4 linked regions of the Drosophila melanogaster genome follow. The protein of the gene in region 1 interacts with the protein of each later gene in a pairwise test. Each region holds a gene or a part of one and is shown in the gene's direction. Other genes may lie near its edges.

The links.
Region 2: the proteins of CG17162 (region 1) and CG43069 interact in a two-hybrid assay, tested with the Drosophila melanogaster proteins (one large-scale study listed by BioGRID).
Region 3: the proteins of CG17162 (region 1) and CG34198 interact in a two-hybrid assay, tested with the Drosophila melanogaster proteins (one large-scale study listed by BioGRID).
Region 4: the proteins of CG17162 (region 1) and tinc interact in a two-hybrid assay, tested with the Drosophila melanogaster proteins (one large-scale study listed by BioGRID).

What each region holds. Positions count from the first base shown.
Region 1 is NC_004354.4:23,092,661-23,099,615, reverse strand, and holds the start of CG17162 (uncharacterized protein), read left to right. Parts: upstream 1-2,881; 5' UTR 2,882-3,183; intron 3,184-6,006; exon of another isoform or gene 6,007-6,955. Other genes in the region: su(f) (suppressor of forked), read right to left, coding at 1-141, 207-398, 603-1,002, 1,061-1,336, 1,501-1,823, 1,885-1,920.
Region 2 is NT_033778.4:18,859,809-18,864,672, forward strand, and holds CG43069 (uncharacterized protein), read left to right. Parts: upstream 1-3,053; 5' UTR 3,054-3,077; coding exon 3,078-3,317; 3' UTR 3,318-3,469; downstream 3,470-4,864. Other genes in the region: Jheh3 (juvenile hormone epoxide hydrolase 3), read right to left, coding at 584-1,384, 1,453-1,657, 1,718-2,118; CG43070 (uncharacterized protein), read left to right, coding at 4,184-4,286, 4,335-4,480, 4,535-4,616, 4,676-4,725.
Region 3 is NT_033778.4:19,680,995-19,685,727, reverse strand, and holds CG34198 (uncharacterized protein), read left to right. Parts: upstream 1-2,750; 5' UTR 2,751-2,828; coding exon 2,829-3,008; 3' UTR 3,009-3,282; downstream 3,283-4,733. Other genes in the region: CG15128 (uncharacterized protein), read left to right, coding at 1-42; CG15127 (uncharacterized protein), read left to right, coding at 4,452-4,709.
Region 4 is NT_033777.3:17,808,832-17,815,602, forward strand, and holds the start of tinc (tincar), read left to right. Parts: upstream 1-2,709; 5' UTR 2,710-2,973; intron 2,974-4,699; exon of another isoform or gene 4,700-4,786; intron 4,787-6,771. Other genes in the region: Odj (oddjob), read right to left, coding at 1-115, 170-286; Alg1 (ALG1, chitobiosyldiphosphodolichol beta-mannosyltransferase), read right to left, coding at 749-968, 1,027-1,587, 1,649-2,208. UniProt on the Drosophila melanogaster protein: Involved in eye morphogenesis. May be essential for the normal differentiation of ommatidial cells.

The sequences.
Region 1 (6,955 bases):
GGAGCAATAATACTCCATTAAAGCAGCGGCCACGAAAATGTGATAGCGCGACCTTACGTCCTCCCGAGCTTTCTTAAATATGCTACGGGCCGACTTGATCCCCTCAGCACGACGGGCGAACTTCATGTACTGAACATAGACCTGGAGTATTAAATTTCGATGGTATCAAATATTTGATGAAACATATTCAATATGTGTGTTCCTACCAATGTGGGATCAATGTCTGGCAACTGTAACAGCTTGTTGTACATAGTGTGCACCTTCTCGTACTTGAGCCGTCCTTCTTCAAAGTCCGCATAGGCAAAATATAGCAACGCATTTCGGTTTAGCACGCCGTTTATAGACCGTTCCAGTATATTAGCACACTCGTCCGCAAAAATCTTGGCCGCCTGGACGTCCTGCAATGTTTTAATAAGTAATTAAACATGTAAATACACAAAAGTTCGACTTAGTTATAAGAGTAAAACGCGTGCGGCCTGGCCAGGGGCAACGGGGCAAGCCACGGAAAGCCATCTGTGTTGTGCCACTGCGTGCTCCTTTACCCGAGGGGCGACACTTCTTAGCAAACAAGAGACTATATTTGATTCGTTTTTGGTTTTGACCTTTGCCCACCACCAAGCAAAGGCCATAACCCACTCTATTTGATTCACTACAGGAACGCAGAGAATAGGTGAAATGTTTTCAACACTAGTACGCACGCCTTTTTCGGTGAGCACGCGAGCACTGGTGTCCAGGAATTGGGAGGCCTGGTGCCACACTGCCGGGTGGTGGGTGAGCACCAGCAAACATTGCTCCGTGGCGAACATGACACGACGGGTTACTAGGGCCGTATCTTCAGTGCGCAAGGGATTAGACTTCTCATACGTGATAAAGCGCTTCCACAGCTCCACTTGCTTCACCTCCTCTTTTGTGAGTGTGGGTGGGACGGCTGGCAGATTGCGATTGAGACCCTTTGTGTGGTATTCCAACTCTTTGGCAACACGACGAGCGTTCATGTAATCCCTGGTTTTAAGTTGGAATTTAGAAAGAACATTTAGCAAACTCTGCGTATAACACTCACTTAGATCGCTCCAGACTCATCTTCTCTGATATAATCGGGTTTATGTTTTGCTCGAATGCGATATAGTCCTTCCACAACTGCTCGATGCCCACGATAGGTGTGACTACAGCCTTTTGATAGACGCGGCGCACTGCTGTGATCTTTTGGTTCTCTGCATAGTTGCCCACTGCTTCAACGCCCCGCAGAAAGTATATGTAATCCTGCCAGATGCTGAACGAGTGTAGATCCATGCCGATTTTCTCCAGTGCAAAATCATAAGCCTGGGCCATTTTTTCTCTGAGAAAAGAGATAAGTCCAATAAAATAAGCGTGTCAGAATAACACAAATGTTGTGCATCAAAAAAAACAATATGCTCGCTGCATTGCAAGTTTTGACTAAAATTATAATAGTTTCTAAGATGTCAAATTATGTGAATTATTTAAATAAGGTATAACAGTTACTTGTGAGTACTTAGACCCGACTTGGTTTCCTTCACGTAGGTAAGATAGAGCTTCCAGAGGTCGATGTTCAAAATCTTGACTAGGCAGCGTTGAAAAAGTTTCTCCACGCGTTCATAGTACCGGCTGCGCATCTCCATCTCAATGTATAGCTTCCAGTACCGAGCGGTTGTCGGAAACACATTAACTAGCGACTCGTAAAGACTGCGTACTTCGTGGATTGGCCGCGTTTGGGCCTCTCGGATCATGACACTCCAGGACTCGATGTCATAGGGCCGCAGCTCCACCACTTGCTGAGCTCGCACCAGGCGCTCCATGCCCCATTCCTTGTCATCGATAAGTAAAAATATGTTGTTACCATCCAAATAAAGCCAATGTTTTACTTACTATGTCGACTTTGATAAGGTCTCTGGCCGAAGACATTGCTAATAGTCTTTGCAAATTGTCGTTGAGTCCTGCTTGCGCTGCTCCTTGGCCCGGGAAAGTTCCTTTCTTCCGTTGAACTTTCGCTACGCAATTACCTAAAGCAACGCTTGGATGCCGCTTTTCCGAATTCTTTTAGAAGTTGCAATGCGGCTGCTTAGATATCGACGACTGATTGGATGTAACTGCGATAGTGTCATCGCCAATCACATCGCGGGCCTTACCATTAAAATCCCAAGATTTGGGATGTGTAGTACAGCGGTCACTGATTATAAACTATAAATAAAAAAGATATATGGTTTTAACATACTTTAAAGGTACTAAATCTGTAAATAATGAATTCAAGCAGAAGCAATATTTTTTATAGCTTGTTTCCACTGAAACATTTTTCTGTACGTTGCTAAGGTGAAGGTTGTTAACAGATACTTTGAACCGTTTAAGTTCTATGTAATAGTAAGTAAAAGAGGTAATATTTAATAAAAAGGCATTTTTAGGAAGCCTGGAATTGTATGCCTAGTAGCGTAACTAGGTACGAATTTTTCCTGATTACCCTATAACATTATACATTAAAACAATATAACATAATATGAGGTAAAGGTATTCTTGGTATTGTGGTATTCGAACAAACATAACTATGAAAACACACGAAAACATTATAATTTAAGTCAATGGATTGTTCTTAAATGTTTTAGACACGAGTCCAAGTGATAACAAAATTCAACAAGGTTAACGGAACTTATTTTTTGCTATAAGAAATAGAAAGTGAAACGCACCTTTCTTCAGCAACTGTAGTGTTAAATTGTTTTAAGAATTTACTTACAGAGAAATGTTTTATTGAAATTTAATTTTTTCTTTTGTTGTTTCTTTTTCATGTTGAGGGTTCAACATTCCCACAATTTAACAGTTTAAGGAATACCCAGAATCTAACCCTAGAAATAGATTGGTATATTTATCGATATTAATTCAGTACCAGTATGCGGTCACATTGGGTAAGTGTCAAAAAAGTTTTAAAACAAACGCTAAACAATCAGGAGTGGCAATCAAACGAAACCAAGCGCATTTATTAGCCGAGAGATAATTCGAGTTAAATTCGCAACTAGTATTAGTATCATTCATTGAAACCGATTTATTAAACTGCCAAGGTAGACAAGACACACACACATGTGCGTGTTTCCGGAGAGCATCACAATCATTGCAGACCTAGAGGCCAACAGCTGTTGTTGATGTCCTAGCGGTATATTTACGGTTTATAGACTTCGACAAGTTAGTGAAATTATTACCGTTCCTGGGTCACTCTCCCTTACCTAATACCTCTGTGGGTGTGTGTGCTAAGGCGCAATAAGTGTGTCACACTGACGCGGTTTTGTGTTTCAAAGTAGAACAAACACTGTGTGTGTGTATCCCTCACATATGCATTAGCTTTGTCTCTGTTATATTGGCCAATGTTTATTCCTGCATACCAGAAATAAATAAACAAAGAAATCATTCTCTAAGCTGTGTTGCAAGCACAAAAAAAATTTTGTCTGCAACGATAAGTTTTTCCCTTGATACAAATATTTATATATCTTTTGAGCCATAGCGTTTTTTCATTCTGCAAAATTAGTTTTATTCAATGTGGTTTGTATTATGTGTTTTTGACTATCAAAACTATCAAAAAATCGTGTATTAAGGGGACTTTATACCGTAAAAATGTATGTTGTCTTACTAAAATATTTTTGTTATAAAAACTTAACTTTCAAAAGGGATTTAAAGCGAATGCAACAAAACTCATTCATGAAATATACCTTATTTTGTAGCTTATTTAATTCTTGTTTAGATAGTTGTAATTAAAAAGTGCATTCTTTGCGATTTTCGGAGAAATTATAGTTTTTAGGTCCTTACCCTACTTGTTCAAATGCAGAGTAATTTTAGCTAAAAGGGAGTTAAAAATGCCTGTTGGTGAATTGATTCATTAATTTGTTATTATGTTTGTGTTTACTTTTTTGTAAAATAATTCAATATGCAACCACTACCACGAAATCAGTTGTTCTTTGCTTGGACTAGAAAAAGCATACGAAATTAGGGAAATACCTATACAAAATTAGTTAATTAAATATAAGAGGCGGTGCCACGGCCACAATTTTTGGTATCATAAAAGATAATGGCAAAAAAATTTAAATATCTTTATCCGTTCTAGAGTTACAAACTACAACAAATATAAGGGGCGGTTTCAGAACGGATATATTGTAACCCAATCTGAATATCTTTCAACGTCCTGGAGTTATTCATTTTGGGCAGAAAAAGTGGTAAAATTTCACATAGTGGTACGTGGGCAAGTTTTGAAATATTCGCACACCCTAACGACGGCAAACCGCCCAAAAGGTTCACACCCACACTTTTGTGAAATGTTATAATTATTTTTCATTGCATTTTTTGATTTTTTGCTACTTTGTATCGCTTTGCCAAAATACCTCCACCATCTCATTCGAACGCCAACCAAATTTTTTAAATATGTTTAGACTTTTTTATTTGGTTATTATACCCGTTACTCGTAGAGTAACGTAGATTCGTTTAAAGGAATGTAACACGCAGAAGGAAGCGTTTCCGACTGTATAACGGATCAATAGCCGAGTCGATATAGCCATGTCCGTCTGTCCGTATGAACGTCGAGATCTCAGGAACTATAAAAGCTGGAAGGCGGAGATTTAGCATGCAGATTCTAGAGACAAAGACGCAGCGCAAGTTTGTTGATCCATGTTGCAACGCCCACAAGCCCACGAAAAAATGCCACAAGCACTCTTTTGAAAAATATATTGATATTTTTTCACATCTTTATTAGTCTTGTAAATTCCGATCGATGTGCAAAAAAAAACTGTTTGCCACACCCACTGTGACGCCCTTAAGCCGACAAACCGGTCACGCCCCACTTTTGAAAATTGTTGAAATTTTTTCTCATTTTATTCCCCAACATCTTTTGGTATCGCAGAAAAATATCTGGGTTAACGGGTATCTGATATTCAGGCAACTCGACTATAGCATTCTCTCTTGTTATTCTAAACAATTTTATGGATATGACAATCAAGTTTCAAAGTTTCTCCCTCGTTCTCCCCTTAGTTGAGTGGCGCTAGTGGAGAAAATCTATAGCGGTTCCTTTTGTTATTTTAACTTTTTTCCTAAACTAATTTTCCATAACAGAGATAAATTAGTTGGAAATTGTCAATATATTTCTAAATTAATTTGCTTTCTTTAAATATCAATTTATTTAATAGATAGAAAATTCATTTCGTCCTGTCTGTGTTACCAAAATATTTAGAACACTTAACAAAAATTCATATAACGTTCTGTTATATGAATTGCTGTTTGATTAACGAATGATTAAAACGTTTAAAACGTTACGTTTCGAAAATCAGAAAAAAGGAAAGAAATGCATACATTATCTTAACTTCAAAGCTTTTAAAGTTTTCGAGGTGACAGCCCCCTTACGGACAGACAGACTTTACCATATCAATTCGGCTAGTGATCCTAATCAGGAATATTGTACATATATATGTATATGTATACCGCATTAAAAGAGCATACAAAAAATTTCTGAATTCTACGACATCGAAATACAAAATACAAAGATAAAAAATACTTGTAGAGTAAAAGGGTATAGTTGATTCGTTGGAAAGTATGTAACAGGTAGAATAAAGCGTTTATAGCTTCAGTTTCAGGAACTATAAAAGCTAGAATGTTGAGATTAACCATTACCACTCTAACGCCCACAAACCGCCCAAAACTAAAAAAATTTGTTTCATGGTTTTATAAGTCTTGTACATATCTACCAATTCGCAAAAAAAAATTTTGGCACGCACACTCTACCGCCCACAAACCACCCAAAACTGTCACGCCTACATTGGAATAATTTTTAAATTAGTTTCCATTTTATTATTTTGGTTTCCAATTTCTGCCGATATTCTAAAAGACATATTGAAATATGTCGTTCCACCTGAGTAACGATAGCTGGGGAACTCGACTATCGCATTCTCTATTGTTTATAACTCATTTTATGGAAATTATAATGATAATCGTCATCAGAAATTTGTTCTGATTTTTTCCTGTTACCGTCGGTTAACTCAACTTGTTTTTGTTTGTTAGTTTATCGGGCCAAAAACCGATTCGTTCAAGCTACTTTTCAGCCATCTTGTATAACCGGTTATGATACGAATTTTCTTTATAATTATGTGGTGCATTTTTTTAAAATAATCCCTGGGACATCGTTAGATAGTGTCTTTCGACGGCTTGCGAGTTCTTGCTCCTAGATTGTATAACTCTGGACCTATCCAACAACTCTACTAACGATTTTTGACATAGTTCGTTCTGTCTCGTTTATTCTGTCTTGTTTATCGTGAGTCGAGATGTCCAAATTGGACAAAATTGGCTTGTAAAAGAGGTGTTGGTGTATGCAAAAGTTGGTGTTTGCAGTTACAATGGTTAACGACATGAACGTTAGTAATTTTTCTATCAAGGGTGGACCACGCCCACTAAGCCTAAGTGTGTTTGGATTGTTGGGTGTGGGTGTGGAAGTAAAAGAGGGCACTAAATGTGAGAGTAGATATAGTTGGCTGTGTTCGTCGGGATCTTTTCAATTTAATTTGTCTACCCTGAATTTTTTTTCACGGAGCAGTAATTTAGTGATTATCGTTTTTTTCAGTCGGGTCATTCGGGGGGAACCGTACTAAAGAGTCTACTTTGTTTACTGCAAAATTCATTATTATTAATGATATGATTAAAATGAAGTTTTTTATTTATAATCGAACACAATTTTTTGTGTACCAAAATTATTTTAGTGGTTATACATATTTAAATGATTTTTTTGAGGGTATTAATAGATACAGTTTAGCAACCCAACAATTCAGCCTTTCGTTACTTTTTCAACTCCAATCCGATGTCAAACAAACAAAAATAAATCGCGAGCTGACGTGATAACAAATAACCGCAAACTGCTGTTGCTAACAGAAATTGTATTATTCGGTTGTTCAATAAATGTTCAGTCAAATTCGGATACATTAGGCGA
Region 2 (4,864 bases), on another chromosome or scaffold:
GACAACTGATAAAGATCTCTTCATTTGCCTCTTCCTTGCGCATAGGAACAGTTATTTTTTCAATTCTTCTTTCATCTGACTCTGCATAGGTTTGAATTTGCAAAAGCAAAAGTTTTTTTGCATTTCACCTCCCCCCACTTGCTGCACAAGCAACTGTTTGTGACCCATGCACAAAAATGCACTTTGTGAAAATAATTTTGACCATGACTGTATATATATAAATATACATATATACATATATATAAATAAAGAATCAATAATATTTTTTTAGTTTGCGGTCAATTACAAACATGGATTACAAGCAATTACTTCTTAACCATACCTACTATTTATAGTTATTAGTTTTATTGTAATGTAATTAAAAAAGATTTTGTCTTACCCCCTTCTATTTCCCTTCCACATTTGTTAAATATTATGTAACCACGTTATGGTGGTACTGAGGTGGTCCCAACCACCTTACTGCAAAACCGTACTTAAAATACGTTGACCTTTTGTCGCCTTGCCAATTTAATAGCTATCTCATGTGCCTCCCGATTCCCAAGCGAAAGTACAAAATCCGTTTGGTAATTATACTTAAAACAATTTATTTTCTCTTCTCGCCGTGTAGGCCAATTTTTCCCACAAAGGCGGTAAAATCATTGAACAACATGGCCGGCATCTCCAGGGCGGCAAAGTGGCTGCCCTGCTGGAAGTACATCGAGTGGGTCAGGTTGGGGAACTTGTCCCTCAGCTGCCAGTCAGTCACCGAGGCCAGATCGAACCGGAAGCGGGCACAGCCCATGGGAACCGGGGACTGCACACGATCCAGCTGGAGATCCCTGTACGTCTTGGACACGTTCTCCAGGTAGAAACGAGCCGCTGTCGTGGCCGAGTTCGTCAGATAGTAGACCATCAGGTTGTCCAGCACAGCCTCCAGGCCGAAGACAGTGACTATGGCGCCAAAGTCCTGCTTCAGGCCGGGATTTGTGCAGGTCTGGAATTTCTCGAGGATATAGGAGGCCAAGCCGACGGGACTGGAGGTCAGAGCCGCTCCAATCGTATCCGGCTTGGTGGCCTGGATGTGAAAGTAACCGCTTTCCTCCAGCAGCTCCAGCCATTTTTCCCACACGGGGAAGTGATGATCCACAAAGAATCTGGACGGCAAGTACTTCTCCGGGAAGAAGCTGCCGTAGATTCCCTTCAGAATGGCCAGTGGCGTGTGCAGAACGCACATGTTCGAGTGGTAACCGATTACGTTCTCTGGATACAAGGTGGCCAAGTTGCTGCCAATGATGCTGCCCCAATCTCCGCCTTGGATGAAGAACTTCTTGTGGCCCAGACGCAGCATCAGGTTACGCATCACAGTGGCCATTTCAGCGGCATTAAATCCGGGACGCGTGGCAGCCTTAAGTTATAATAATAATAATAATAATTAAAATGAAGAAATTCAACTGAAAAACAAATAACACTCACATCGGACCATCCGTAGCCCACCAGGGATGGTGCCACGACCTCAAAAGCGTAATCCGTGATGTTTGAGTGCTTGGTTAGCATGGGTATAAAGTCGAAGAACTCGCGCACCGATCCTGGCCAGCCGTGGAGCAGGAGCAGAGGATATACGTGTTTCTTTTCCTTAGCCTCCTCGGATACCTTTTCGTGGATATAGTGAATATTCAAGCTGCGGAGGTATTACGTTTTTAGCATGGCATCCATGTTATACAAAAGCACTCGTACCCACCCCTGAATTTCGGTCTTGTACTGCTTGAACGAGTTGAACAGCTCCTGGCGCTCATCCCACTTGGTCAGGTAATTGTCCCGCCAGTAGTCCACAAACTGCTCCAGTGCATAGGTGTTGAATCCGTATTCAAAGGCGATTCCGTCCAGCGGTTCGGTTAGTCTCAGCGTGCGGTTGAGTTCCTTTCGCAGATCATCGATCTCCGATTGCGGCACCTGCAGCTTAAACTCGTAGATCTTTTCGTCGGGCACAAAGTCCTTGGCATCGCCGGGACCCCAGTACGTATCATCCTTGAACTCCGGCTTGGGCAGGGGCTTGGTCAGTTCCGTGAATACCACGTAGCCATAGCCCACGAAGGCACCAAACAGGGCCACAATCAGACCAAACACTATCAGGCACTTCATTCTGGCCACAGGCGCAATTAGCTCCCCCTCGTTATGAATTTAAATTAGCCACCTCGTACACCTCCCAGAAGAGATAATGGTTTGTGATTCCTAACCCGAATTCGGAATAAACACGACCGTGCAACCAGAAAGCCGCTTAAGAACTGACTGCCGGCGCATATACTCATTCCCCGAATTGTCTCGCAAAGCTCTATCGAAATTCGCTGTCGCCGTTATAGTATATGTTCGTATAATATTTATAAATTCGTTTAGATAGCGCTGGCTATCGTGCACAGTGGTTCACAATATGATCTGTCAAATTGATCTTTGCTTGATCTTGGTTATAATGGTCTGCTCGCAGCTCAAAGGTTAATGGGCTTGGGAAATTAAGTATAAAGTATAAATATATTTAAATGTGGTTAAAGCTTTGCACTTTATAATGAAATTTTTGTACTTTATAATACTTTTATACTTTTTGTACTTTTGTACTTATAATATATAATTAGATAGTTAGATAGCTTGCCTATCTAAGGGTATTTAGGAATACCAATTCCCTAACCAAAGGGTATTTAGGAAGTATATATATTTTTTTTCATTATTTTCTATTTCCAGCATTTTATAATAGACTTAGCCCCAAGGTGCATTGCGGTTAGTCTGCCTGGTACTGTGTTACTTGCCCGCGTCTGCACCTTGAATAGCCCATTGATTTCCGAGCGAGATAGGGTGACCCATACGTGTGTACCATATGAGACAAGTGCGATGGTGACTTGAGAATAGTCCCAGCTACTTATTCGCCACCACTATCTTATCGAACTTATTTATTGGTAAGCGCTACGCCGGCAACTGATCATAAATCTCAGCCCTTCTGCCACTGATGATGTGGCTCCAAAAAATGAATGAAATGAAGTCGGCCGATCAGAAGGCCACGTGGCACCTATCACTATCTAAATACACTCCTAGTAATTCTAATGTAAAATAGAATGGCCAATCAAAGCAAAACCATTTGGCTTCTATCCTCAAATCTACCTAAACTGCGGTGCCATGTGAGAACGGATCAACCTTTGGCCGCACTTCTTAGGCAAAAATATGCCCAGGCATTTGGAGTTGCTACTGAGTCTCTGATCCTGGCCTTCGATGGTGAGAAAATCCAGGAGGAGGACACATTTGACTCCTTGGCCATGGAGGATAATGACATCGTCGATGTTGTAGAAGAATGTTAGTGCTCGAAGACCATGAAGCCAAGTTAATAGAGGCAGTGAACTGCGAGAGGTTAGCAGGCGACATTGTACACTGAAAATATTAGATAAAAATTGTAAAATAGAAACCCATCGCAAATATATGCATAGACTTGGTAATATTTTGTCTAAATTTTACACATTTCTATTTCTGGGTGCATAAAAGGTAGGGGATAATTCGCATAAATTGTAAGGGCACCAATAATGCTGTCGACATGCAACTATATCGAAGGACTCAAGGGGCAAGGAGACTCGATAAAAAAAACCACAAAAGTGCCGCCAAACATGCAAGACAGCCAAATGGGGGCGTGGTTGGTTCGCCGTGGCAGAAACAATGATGGGAAACGTAATTCGAGCGAAATTAACGCAATTACCGTGCCGCAGTCAAAGGACTCAAATTCACTACCTTTCGATGCACTGCAGTTGAAAAACATACAAAAATAAGACTAAAGTTTGTTCGCGTGCCGCAAAAACAATCGCATTGATACTTGGAAGCGTGTCAAAGCTGCCACCTTCCGGGGAAATGGAGAGGTTCCTATTGCGGACCCGAATCGCGGACCATTAATGCCGGCTCCGCCGGGCTAATTCACATTTTATTGAGTGCTCCAGTTACGGCCAAAGTTTGGCACCAACGCCGCTGCCATTGGCAACCGCCTCGCCCTCGAAGAGGGGGCGTGGCCTTAATGGTCGCAATTAGTTTTTCATCCAGCTGACACGCACTTGTCGTAAAAGTCCATTGAACCTGACGCTAAATTGATTTCCATTGGGGCGGGCCTGGAAAAGTTATTCAGCATATTTTACCTACTAAAAAAAAAAAATACATTTTTTATGAACAAAAACGCAGGTACACTATGCCAGATCGATCAAATCAACGTTGGTTTGTCATCGCAACTCTGGCTTCGTGGAACTTAATGAGTGGTTTCGGTTTCTACGCCTACATTCTGGATTGCTATGGTCAGTTAGTACACGTTTTGCCAGCTAATGTTTATATTTTTCCCTCAGTAAATTATCCATTTGATCACCAGAGACGTCAGTTCAAATATCACACTTTTGCCGGAACTATTGACAAAGATGTTGTTATGGGAATCACTGTCGTAATGCTATGTCAGATAGTATCTTCGATTCTACTATGCTTTGCATTAGATGAGGTGAAGTTTAAGAATATAAAATCCTGGCGGTATATTAATTAGTTTTCATTTTAGAAGAAAAGAACATGTCTTATTTACGGAATTTTCATTAGCCTAACTTTTCCGTGTGTCTGTCTCCCAGTTTGGCCATTAGCTGGTAAGTTTTTAGAATTTTCAAAAATCTTTTTCGAGGCATCTAATAGTGTGTTTCAACAGTAACACATGTCAGTCTTGTTTTGGTAGTGCTGAGTTATTACTTTGAGTAGTTTAGAAAATGTTGTAAAAAATTGTAATTATTTTGGTCCCTGTATACAAAATATGTTTGGAGGTTCATTCATTTAAAAATGGGAATTATGGGTATTGATATAGAATATATTTATAAAGTAGTAAGATATAATTTAATAC
Region 3 (4,733 bases), on another chromosome or scaffold:
TCGCTGGTCAGCGGCCAGGATGTCGACTCCCAAGGTGGTTAATATTATATACTTGACTATTTTACATTTGTTTTACTATTTTACGGTTACACCAAAGAAATAAATATAAATTTTAAATATTTGTGTTTTAATTTAACTTGTTACTAAATGTTAATTCTATATTTAAAGAAAGTAAATGTGCTCGTAAAACGTAAGTGATTTCGTTCATTAACATTTCTATTTAAACTAAAGTTTATCCCACGTAAAGTTCGTAATGCATTTGCTATCTTCATGACCAGCAATAAAATGGCGACGTGTGATTAAAACTTTTACTTTGTCCCACATTTTAAGCAAAGGCTCTGAGAGAAACACACACTAACTTATATATTGTACATATACCTGGAGAAGAGTCGTAAAAATTCTATCAACTCGATTAAATTATAACAAGTGGATTTTCATGTTTTTGTGCCGCATTTATGTGTTTTTATTGTGCTAATTTTATGCCAGTCCCGCTGGCGCGGCGAACACCTCAAGAAGCAGCTCCTTTTGCTCCTCGTGCTCCTTGGGCAATTTCGGCAGAGAACTGGCACACACACACGCGTGTGTGTGTGTGTGTGTGTAGATAGGCACCTGGTGGCACCTGCAATAATACTTGGCACACATTTAGTGGCAGCATTTAGTGGCACACTGCGGTCGCAGGATCCAACGACGAAGTTCATTCTTGCGACATTTCCACTCTGGCTCTCCCGCCGCCGCCGTACTTGGCAAAGTTTTTGGCCTTCATCCTGCCGCTTGCCACTTTTTTAACAACCACCCACATGGCACGCCTACCCACCTGCCAGCTATTGCCTACCTGGTTTGGTAGCCTCGGCTCGGCTTTTGTCTTATCAAAGTTTTTGGCGCGCATGTGTTTATGCCACAAATGGCACTTTTGCGGCAGCGCATTTTATTTTTTACTGCCACTTTTCGCCATTTTGCTTTATCATTTTTATATATATTATATGTGTCTATACAGAAACAGTGCCAATAGGCTTGGTTCTGACCAAAGTTCAACCTACCATTGTTGCATTTGGACAACACTGCGTATACTCTATTTATAAACCCGAACAGTGGATTTAAATTTGTTCTAATTGAAATATTTTCATGGCTTGTAATAAGGAAACTTATTTGCCTGATTTGTAATATTTTTAATGGATTCTTTGCCTTTACTGCAGTTCTTAACTGTTGCTTTACACTGGTTAAAACAACAGTGCTCCCACTTCCCCTTTCCGGTTTTAAACAACCCTCCCAATAATAAATCTGCGTGAACCCCATTAACCCTTTAGTTATGTTCTTGGAGTCGGAGGAAAGTAACGACTCTATTAGTAGAGGAATTTAAATTGCCGCCTAGTTCGTTTTTATTATCCTCGAGGAGGGAATGGAACCTCCGGCGTAAGGTGCGCAAGCCAACTAATGACCCTGTATTTATATGACAGGGGAAAGTTTATAAATATTTATGGGGTGCTGCTGTTGCTTACTGTTGTTGCTGGCTTTCATCAAGCTAAAACTCATTTGCTTATTTTAAAATTCCGAGCAGGCGTAGTTTCATTTTTGACACCCGGCATTCGTCGCCGGTCCCCCAAAACCGATGTTCCCCATCCGTTCCTTTTTTAGGGATCTGCCGCACGTTGTTGCCATTGTCACGCACACACGTACTATATTTTTTACGCGCATATCATATTACACCCTCCAAACACACAGGGACATTCCCTTGCCTTAAAGGACCCTCCGACCAACCGACCAGCCAACCAACCAACCCCTTTCCCAACTGGGGATGCTACGGGGATCCATCGAGGTTTGGGGACCCAGTCGAAGTAAATAGAATCACGTACACTAATTATCATCGCCATTGCACGAAGGGCGCTCAAAAATATATATTTTTATTAATTTCAGCAAGGTAACGCCGCTCTAAAAGCCAACCAACCACCTTACACATACCCCATCTGCGGTGTTGGGTGAAAATTTTAATTGAGATCTCCGCTATTTGATAGCAACGAGGAACTATTCGCCCGAAATTGATGTGGCCGCTGATGCTGATGGGGCCACTCGAATGGTTGGTTTTGAATGCAAAATGCGTCGTCGGATATAGTTTTGAGTGCTCAGATAAGGTGGCATATATAATTAGCTGCCCCATTTGGCATTATGCGACATTTGTGTGTTTCAAGTTTCCCCCGATAGTTTGTGTAATGTGAGTCATTCATTTGATAAAGTCATAGGGGAATGAGAGTGCCGAACACGAGTTTAATTAAAGTGCTAATCTGACTCCAAGTAAAAGTAAATAACAAAGAATAGAGTATAAGATAAAAAATATAAAAATATAACCAAATATATAGACATCTTAGGGCTTGGAAAATGATGATGACGTTGTTTGTTGAATTGCAAGAAAAATAAACATCAGATAATACAGTATACAGCAAACCCGATAAAAATTATCAGTATATTATCAGATTTTGCATAACTTGTAAGTTACAAGAAAGGCCTTTGTTTATTTGAACAACAACGCTTGAATGCAGCGAATTCATAAATAAAATCATGTAATAAATAACCTATCGATTTTGTAGTTTTCTATCATAAAGCTGGTTAGACAACCAAGGTGGGACCCCAACGAATCGCTAGGTACTTCACACAAATCGCTGGCCACTGATAAGAGTTCCAGTTGCTTTTATCTATAGATAACACCCATAGCAGAGATTGCCGAGAGCGCGGCTATAATAGCACAATCCCAACAATATGACCAGTGCCGAACTAAACGCGTGCGGTGCAACAAGTACATTTTATAATTGAAAACAACCGGATTACAACCAATCGAAATGGACCACAGAACTCGCGTTGTGGAGGTGGTGCAAGTGCCACCCCAACCCTCGACCACGGTGATCGTGCAACCTCCTCCGCCGCCGCCTCCTCCCAAGGATAACAGTTGCTGTTGTTGTCCTTGCTGCCCCTGTTGCTGTCAGTGTGGCGAATGCTGTTGCTGCTGCACCATCATGTGAAAGACGAAGGTGCCCGCAGGCAAAGGACCTCAGAACCCCTAATTCGTTACGTTAAATTAACTTTCTATGTCTATGGAGGCCGCAAACAATTCACACAGTTTTTTCGTGCAATAAAATTTTACGATTCGTTATAAATAACTCTGTGTAGGGCTCACACTGTGGTTGCCATTTTTTTTGTGGCGAAGGGAACACGCTTGGTAACATATTGTCTTACATAAATCCCAATGCGAAAGTACCACAATATAATAAAAAGCCAAATTTAATAACATCCCACAAAAATTTGTAGTTTTATGATGCGCGAGCAGGGGGACAATCCTTTTTGGCTGCTGGAAATGCTCACCACATCATTTCAAAGTTAGTTCACATTCCGAGTTATTATTTATATGTTTCTCAATTTGCCAATAAAAGCGGAAAATGTGTCAAGAGTGCTGCCAACTCCGGTTCCAGGCCCATGCTGCTCTCATTTGATAAAGGATTTTATGACTCTTGGCTCTTGAATTGCAACCGCAGCGTCGGAGCTCTCGCCCCAAATATTTTGACGAGGGTCCCCAAAGTGGGACATTATGTGGGCGGGAGTCGGACAACGAATGCGAGTGCCTTTTTCCAAAGTTAGTAGTCTGCTCATTTAACATAATTTCTGACTCGCAATGCTTCTTTGCCAAACGTTTATCTAAAGCCCAAACCTTATTACTCATACGCACTGTGATAATTCAGACGGAAAACCGTGGTATTGATATCGAAGTGAACAGGCTGAAAAAATCCCATAGTTTAACAGAGTAGGAAAATTTAACACTTTTAACCTGTTTTCCAAGTTTAATATAAAATACTTGAGATACTTGGGCTAACATGTAATCTTAATAAAAATGGAAATACCAGTACTGCCTTTTTTAGAAAGCGGTTGGGGCCAAGTTTAGAAACAGCAAGTGGTGTAAATCGCTTGAACGAATTTTTAAAATCCAAAATAGTCAATTTGCTGCATTGGTTATTGTTAGTTACGATTGATATTTTTTTTATTGATTTTTTACATTATATATTTATTTATTTAGCTTGAAAGAAATTAATAATGGGGTACAAATTTGGTAAGTTTGAGCCAATGTTTATCTACACATAATATTTAGAATATTTATCTGAGCGACGTTTTTAAAAAAAATTGGGTGTGTTTTCCAATGAATATTCAAATGTGTTCCACTGTACCTGTAGTTTTTCTATGTTATTTGCGTGTACACAAATTCGTAATCAGGGCAGGGCATTGATCAAATGCCTACCGGCTTTAGATAATAATGAGTAAGATATTTCCACCAAACCGCCAACCATTTGTGTTCGATGTTTCAGTTAAAGGCGTGTTACCGAACGGGGCTCACTTAGTCGAGCAGTTTAGGCCAGTTACTAGTTATCAACTAGGAGTTTCCGTCATTAAATTAGTAAAAAAGTAAAACAAGGAGAATGTACAACGCAGGCTACCAGGTGGACGTGATCGATCCCTACTATCAGCCGCCCGTGGAGGTGGTGAATGTTATTGGACCCCCGCCCCCCGTAGAGGTGATAATGCCCTCGCCCGTTTACAACCAGCCGGTGGTTGTGGTGGAGCAACCCAGCTACAATCAGCCAGGACCCCCCCAAGGACCCAGTGACGCCGAGTGCTGCATGCTGCTAGGAGCCTGTTGTGTCATGGAGGAGTGTGGCCTGTGTGTCATCATGTAGATTGTGTTGTTGTCAAATGATTGC
Region 4 (6,771 bases), on another chromosome or scaffold:
TCTGGTGGAGATTTGCGTGCGTCTCCAGGCATCGCTGCCTGAAGGCTACGGCTTGGGTCAGGTCCAGGAGACAACAAGCGCATATGTGCTGGGGCAGCATATTCTCTAAAACGATCTGGAAATGCATAGATTATGAATAATTCCGGACAACAAATAAAAGGGACGCCACCTCTAAGCCCGTGATTTGCTCGATGGCCATCCGAATGCGATGATTGCGCTTCTCGAAGATGTTCTTTGGGTGCGGCGTGAAGATGCGCTCGCCGCAGATCCGACACTCGGTGCTCATTCTTTCGAAACTAAATAAAATTGATTAATTTTAATTACAAATTATAGTAATTTTTGCGCAGCCGGTTTGGTTTTGAAGTGTGACCGTTGTCCGCAACTAGAGGTGTCAAACATTGATGTTTTTAAAATTTTCCGATATATCGATGTTTATTTCAGACTATCGATATTGGTGTTCAAATAAAAAAAAATCGGCACTGCATCCCGTGAATTTTCTTTTTTAATTGAAATACATAATACTCCTAAGAAAACACGCTTTACAAGCGAATAAATAGTTGTATATATCTCCTTTTTTTAGCAATTTATTTTTATCTTTAGGCTACGATTATAAAAATAAAATAAGCATCATAAGCAAGTTTGAAGCTCTTTTGTGTACAGAATTTGTAGTAACTAGCCTAGAAAAAGCGATTAGCAATCAAAGGAAGTCTCTCATAACGTGTAATTGTCAAATCTTTGTCAAAATGCTCTATAGAAATGCCTCCAGTACGGGGGCCGCGATCAGGCGCCAACTCTCCCGCCATCGCAGCTCCTGGAACTCCTGGATTTTGCGCTGAAAACCAGCTCTTGTCTCCAGGATGCTGGGATTCTTTGGAAAATTTTCGAACCAAATCCTCAGCTGCTCGGCCAGCTGAACATGGTCGCCAAACACGAAGCCATTCTCGCCGTGCTTCACCAGCTCATCCAGGCTAAAGAGCCATTTGTAGAAGTTAGTAAGTAATAATAGTAAATGGCAGGATTAGTTACCACTTGAAATCGTAGGCGCAGACAGGCAGCCCGCTGCCGAACATGTCGACCACCTTCATGGGCAGGTCGAGCCCACTGGTGCTCCAGTGCAGACACACGCCCAGGTCGGCGCTGGCCAGAACAGTGGGGTAGTCCTCGATCTCTAGCCAGGGCGTGATCACCGACACCTTCTGCCATTGCAGCTTCTCGATCTCCGCCACATAGTGCTCCTTTTGTGGCCCCTTTCCGGTGATGATACACAGCAGGGAAGGATAAACCAACGGCTCTGCTTGCGCAGTCTCCTCGTAAGCTTGCAAAGCCTTAAGCAGTATACCGAAGTCCTCGTCCGGCGTCCAACTGGTGCTGGAAACCAGCACGGCTTGTCGCTGTGGTCTGTACTGCACAACACCGCTGGCCAGCTTTTGGGTAAGAGCGGTGGCCTCCAGAACATCGGATTGTTCGGCGTCCTTGGCCTGGAACTGTGGGTAGTCTTTGGCCAGCTTCAGGTACAGCTCGTGCTTGTGAGTCAAGTCGATGGGATGGAATTGCGCGGGCGCACGATCATACAGAACTTTGACAGGCCTGAAAGATGAGTCGCGGCTGAGTTATTTACTTCGTTTAGATGGATGTGATGAGGACTTACCCAATGCCCCAGTTTTGCTGCAGATCCTCTTGCATGGCCCGCGTCACACAGAAGTGTGTGTGTGCCTTGGAGCCGAAGTATCGCTCCAGTCGCCTAACCAATCGTATTAGAGGACTCTGCTCTCCCTTCGACATTCCCAATGCCAGCACTGTGTACGTGTAGTTGTGCCAATCGATGGCCAGCTTGGTTCGTGTGACCGCACAGTACAGATAGCACACAATCAGCGTGGGAATGCCGGGCGGATTCTGGACGAGTAGGAAGCTGGGACGGCCAATGGAGATGAGAGCCATCAGCAGACTGAGCGTCTGCCAAAAGGCCTTGAAGAGCAGGCGCAGTTTGGGTGTTAGGTTCGTCACTGGGACGGCAGTTAGCTCGTGGATTCGGCAACGTGGATGTTGAGTCAGTTCCTCCAGCGGCCTCGTCTCCAGATACCCAATCATGTCCACGTGGTAGTTCTCCTCGAGAAGACTCTGGGCATGGTACTGCATGCGCGGACTGCGTCCAATGTCGCCCAGCACGATGACGCAGGCGTTGCGCTTCTTGGGCAGCACTTCCGCCATCGCTGGGCAAGAAAAATAAGCGCTTTATCTGCGATCAAAGGGAATTGCGCGTTTTGTTTGTGATTCGGTTGAATCCTGTGGAATAGTGGGACCGTACTCAGCCGCTGCAAAATGCCTCGGAACTCTGCTATTATGGCGCTATGTTAGGGTGGTTCATTTCAACATTTATTTACTACCTGTTTTAAAAATTTGGGTATTTTATCATTTTATCCATCTATTCTATTTCATTTAATTTTTTAAGATGAGTAATCAGAATTCTTAGATTTATATGAGCGAATATATATACTGTTTAGATTTCAAAGTATGAAGTGATAAAATAGCATAATTTTAAGCTACATTTTTTCTCTAACATTGCATTTACATTTCTTAACAGTACTGTAAAATAAAATGAGTGCGGTTAACAGGGAAATAACTTAACAGTTGCCGAGTGACCGTACCTGCTTTGCGTATGTATGATCTTAATTGCAGTAAACGTGACTGGTCACACCACACCGCTCAAACTGAATTCTCCATTCAAATTCGGATTCGTATGGACGTAACGTCGCGGCTCGTGAGTGCGGCACTTTTCTAGCGGGACTTCAAGCTCAGTGTGTGTGTGTGCGCGACAGTGCGTCGGTGTGTGTGAGTGTTTACCCACAAAGCTGTGCTACAATTTTCGCAGCAACTAATGCTCAGGTAGAGGAAATATTATTAAATATACTAGTTGGTGATGAAAAACAAATAATTGAAACAAAGTTTATGACTGCTTAAACGGGAGAATTGCCGGTGAGTAAAATCAGGAAAAGCACTCCAACTGCCGTTATTTTACGCATTTTCGCCGGCACAACAAGCCGGCTTTCCACCCTCCAGTTGGCGCCTGTCTGGATGTCAATGTGTGGGTGGCTCTATCGTTGTCCGCGTGTGTGTGTATCTGTGTCTGTGTGTGGGGGTATTTCGAGCCATCGAATTTCGATGAAGTGGAAATGCAAATTTCGTACACCACATACTACAATTTCCCGAGCTCCTGCTGGCTTTGTTCTCCATTTATGCATTTTTATGCGCGTAGTATTTTTCCTCTCTAGTGCCATCGTCAAATTTGTCACCCGGCTGTCTGAGATTATAACTAGGTGTACAGATGCGGTAGAAATATTAATATCGTTTACAGATTTTTATACGCGTATGAATAAGCAATAAAGAGGATACTATAACCTTTAAGGCCATCAAATATCCTTAAAGATATTATTTGCAAATGTCAAAGGAATGTCAAAGATACTATTATTGTATGTAATTGCTCTTAAAGATCACAAAGACTGAAGTATGATAATCTTAACAGCTACTTTTAATATTAAGAATTTCCCATTAAGGAAGTAAACAATTATAGAAATTTACTTATTTGACTTATAGCTATCAAACAAATATGCCGATCCAGATTTATTGCTTTTGAATATGATTTTCCGCATGATATAGATATTGTATTATTCTGAACCCAGCTGTGAGTGTGCTCCACGTAGTTTATCCCATTATGCTCGTCTGCAATTTCTGATCCAGACGCGATACGCTCCGCGCATCGTCCTTCTGCTCCTGCGTCCTACGTCCTTCGCAGAAGGCAGATAGCCAAGCCAGCGGGCCACCCCCAAACGGTGGGCGGTGAACGCGGGGTGGTGGTTGCACTGCTGCTCGGATGGTTGGGTGGTTTTTGGTGGGTGGCTGTATTTTCCTGGGGTTGGCCCGCAAGTTTCCACTCTTGATTTTTGATTTCAGTCCGACTTTTTATGGCGCTGCAGAAGTTTTCGCTCTGCCGTTGCCCTTTTGCGCTCTTTTTCATTCTCTTTCCGTATGGCAGCATTTGGCATAGAAAACTTATCCTCGGTCTAGACACGGAATGAAAAGGACATTTTTCTTAACCAGGTTTATGCGGTGGCAATATTGCAAAAATCATATCTCAGGATAATTCATATATTTGCCCTAAAGCTATTATTTGTAACGATAAATGGACTGATTGTACTCAATAATCTGTTTGGTCTTATGAGAAAATTTAACAATAATACTTTTATTGTTTATTATCAATAATATCAATATAATATTATATTATAATCAATAATATCTATATCAATAATATATGTTATACATATACATCTTTTAACATCGATAAGCGCACTTTTTGCATAATACTACTAATTCACCTTTACCTTTATGGTAAGTTTATTACCAGCTAGAATAATTGTTGGAATGACTGAAATCAAGGAATGTTGGTAATTCTAAGAAACAATCCATTTTTGCTCACATTTCACAACATATCTATTTCCATGTACCATGCCAAATCTAATCGTATAAACCTGCTTTCATTTTAGTTGCATTTGTCTTTATTTCTGTGCGTGTTTGCTGTCTGCGACATTTTCTGCTTTTGCTTCAGCAGGATTAGCATTAATTTCATGTTGAATTTATGTCACTGAAAATTTATTTCGCCAAAAAAAAAAAACTAAAATCTATCCGGAAAATTGCTCTCTTGCAGCTGCACCGGCAAAACATATCAAAGAAGGGATTATTTTGGACTGAAAAATTCACTTTAAAGGCGCTCAAGAGCAAAAACCCGTGACAGGTAAGCTTTTGTAGGCAGTGCGTGTGTGGATTTTGTATGGAATGGGATGTGGGTGATGTGGTTGGATGGATCGATGGGTGGATGGATGGTGGGGTGATTCAGGGAGCTGAAGCAGTCAACCTGAATAGTCGATTATCGCTGCATCTAATTTGTATGCCAAAGTCGTCGAGCTATGTGTATGGGCCCGCATGCAGACCGCTCCAAAGGCGGCGCGAGCTATTTGAATAATTCGCATCATGGACTCTCGGTAGTCGTGGGGTATTTGGTCTCTGTCTCCAAATGGGGCAGATATTCCAGGCGGGCAGGGACGTGGCATGAAAGTCAGGGCATCTAAAGAGACGGCGCCGCATGCAGGCAGCTGCATGAGCTTGTTAAATGCCAGCAGACAATGCCAAATATCCTAAACAAACTTCCGCTTCGCAGACAGCGTCGACTTCTCGACGCAGAGGTGGCTATAATTAAAAGCGGTGCGAGCGAGAGGCCACCACGTGCCGCATGGCAGTGGGAGAGAGCGCGCGATAGCGTGGCAAGTGCAACGCATCCAGGCCCCTTTTTCTATTTTCGCTGGTGCCTCGCTTGCTTGGTTTACAGCCAAGCACTGCAAAGTGAGGAATTCTTAGATTTCATTTGAAATAATTAGATAATCATGCTTTCCAGTCAATAAATCAAGATATTGACCAGTTAGTATGTTAAGCTGTATGTATACGTTTTAAATCTGAGGATATGCATCTAAACTGATTCCTCCCCTAGGCAAGATCATAAAATGATTTATTTTTGTAATTAATCAGTGTCATTATGGAGAAATTATTTCATTAAACAAATCTTTTTCGAAGAGTAGAAATATATATATTTTTTAATTACTGCCCATTAATTTCTCTCAGCGTATCGCAAGATATGTACCACAATATCAAGTGCCTTTGACATTTTCCAAATAACAATCGACAACTGTTCGCTCGTGGAAAGCGGGGAAAATAGCTGCGGAAGTGCTTTCCCTCACTCTTCATTTCCCTCTCTCCAATTCTCGCGCTGCACTTCAATTTGTGATAGTTGTTGCCGTGGAGCTGGGGGGGATTGGGATTTCAAGGAGGAGGAGGAGGAGGACGAGCTCGAGGGCAATTGAGTTCAGTCGCCACACGTGACAAACATGTGGAACAACTCAGGTTGAGATAGTGGACTCGGAGGCATCAAAAGGCAAATTATGCGGACCAATTCAGGTAGCAGAAACGGTGGAGAAAGATACAAGATATGTAGAACAGTTTCTTCGGGTCAATGACTAGAGTCTCTTTCCATTGCTAAACGCAATTTCACTTGTATAGGGCTTTTCAAATTAGTTTTTAAGGCTTGCGTTTTATTTCCAGTTTTAATACAGGTATAATGTTGCTAAACTCCACAATTAGAAACATCATTCTAAAAGCAAAACATAAAGTATGCTTACTGACTAGATAATAATATTGTTTACATTTCTTTTTGTGTTTGATGCTTGTTCTTTACGGCCAATTACACTAAAACGAGCTTTTTTTGCATTAACCACAATCAGCAAACAAGTTTTTGTTCATAAATGGTCATATAACATTTAAATCGTTTTCAAATTTCCAATATTAGAAGTGCATAGAGGTCATTGAAAACTGGTATCCGAAAGATTCAATTGACGAGTGTTCCACTGCGAGGTGCTAGAGAATCCGTTAAACTGTCGGATGCAAAACTCTCGGCAAAGATGCAAGTTTGCCAGCGGGTCATTCAAGTGGACGCCCGTATCCCCGCACGTGGACACTTCAATGACTGACTGACTGAATGACTGGCAACTTGAATGCCTGACTGACCGAATAAATGACTAGCGGACTAACTGACTGACTAACTGACTGACTGACGGGGCACGCAACAATTGTGGCAGCAACAGAAACGACTCGATGGAGAAAGGCGAGAAGGAAAGAAGGAAGTGATCAAGTTTTTCCTTCCCAGGTTCTGCCTTCCAAATTTATGCAGTC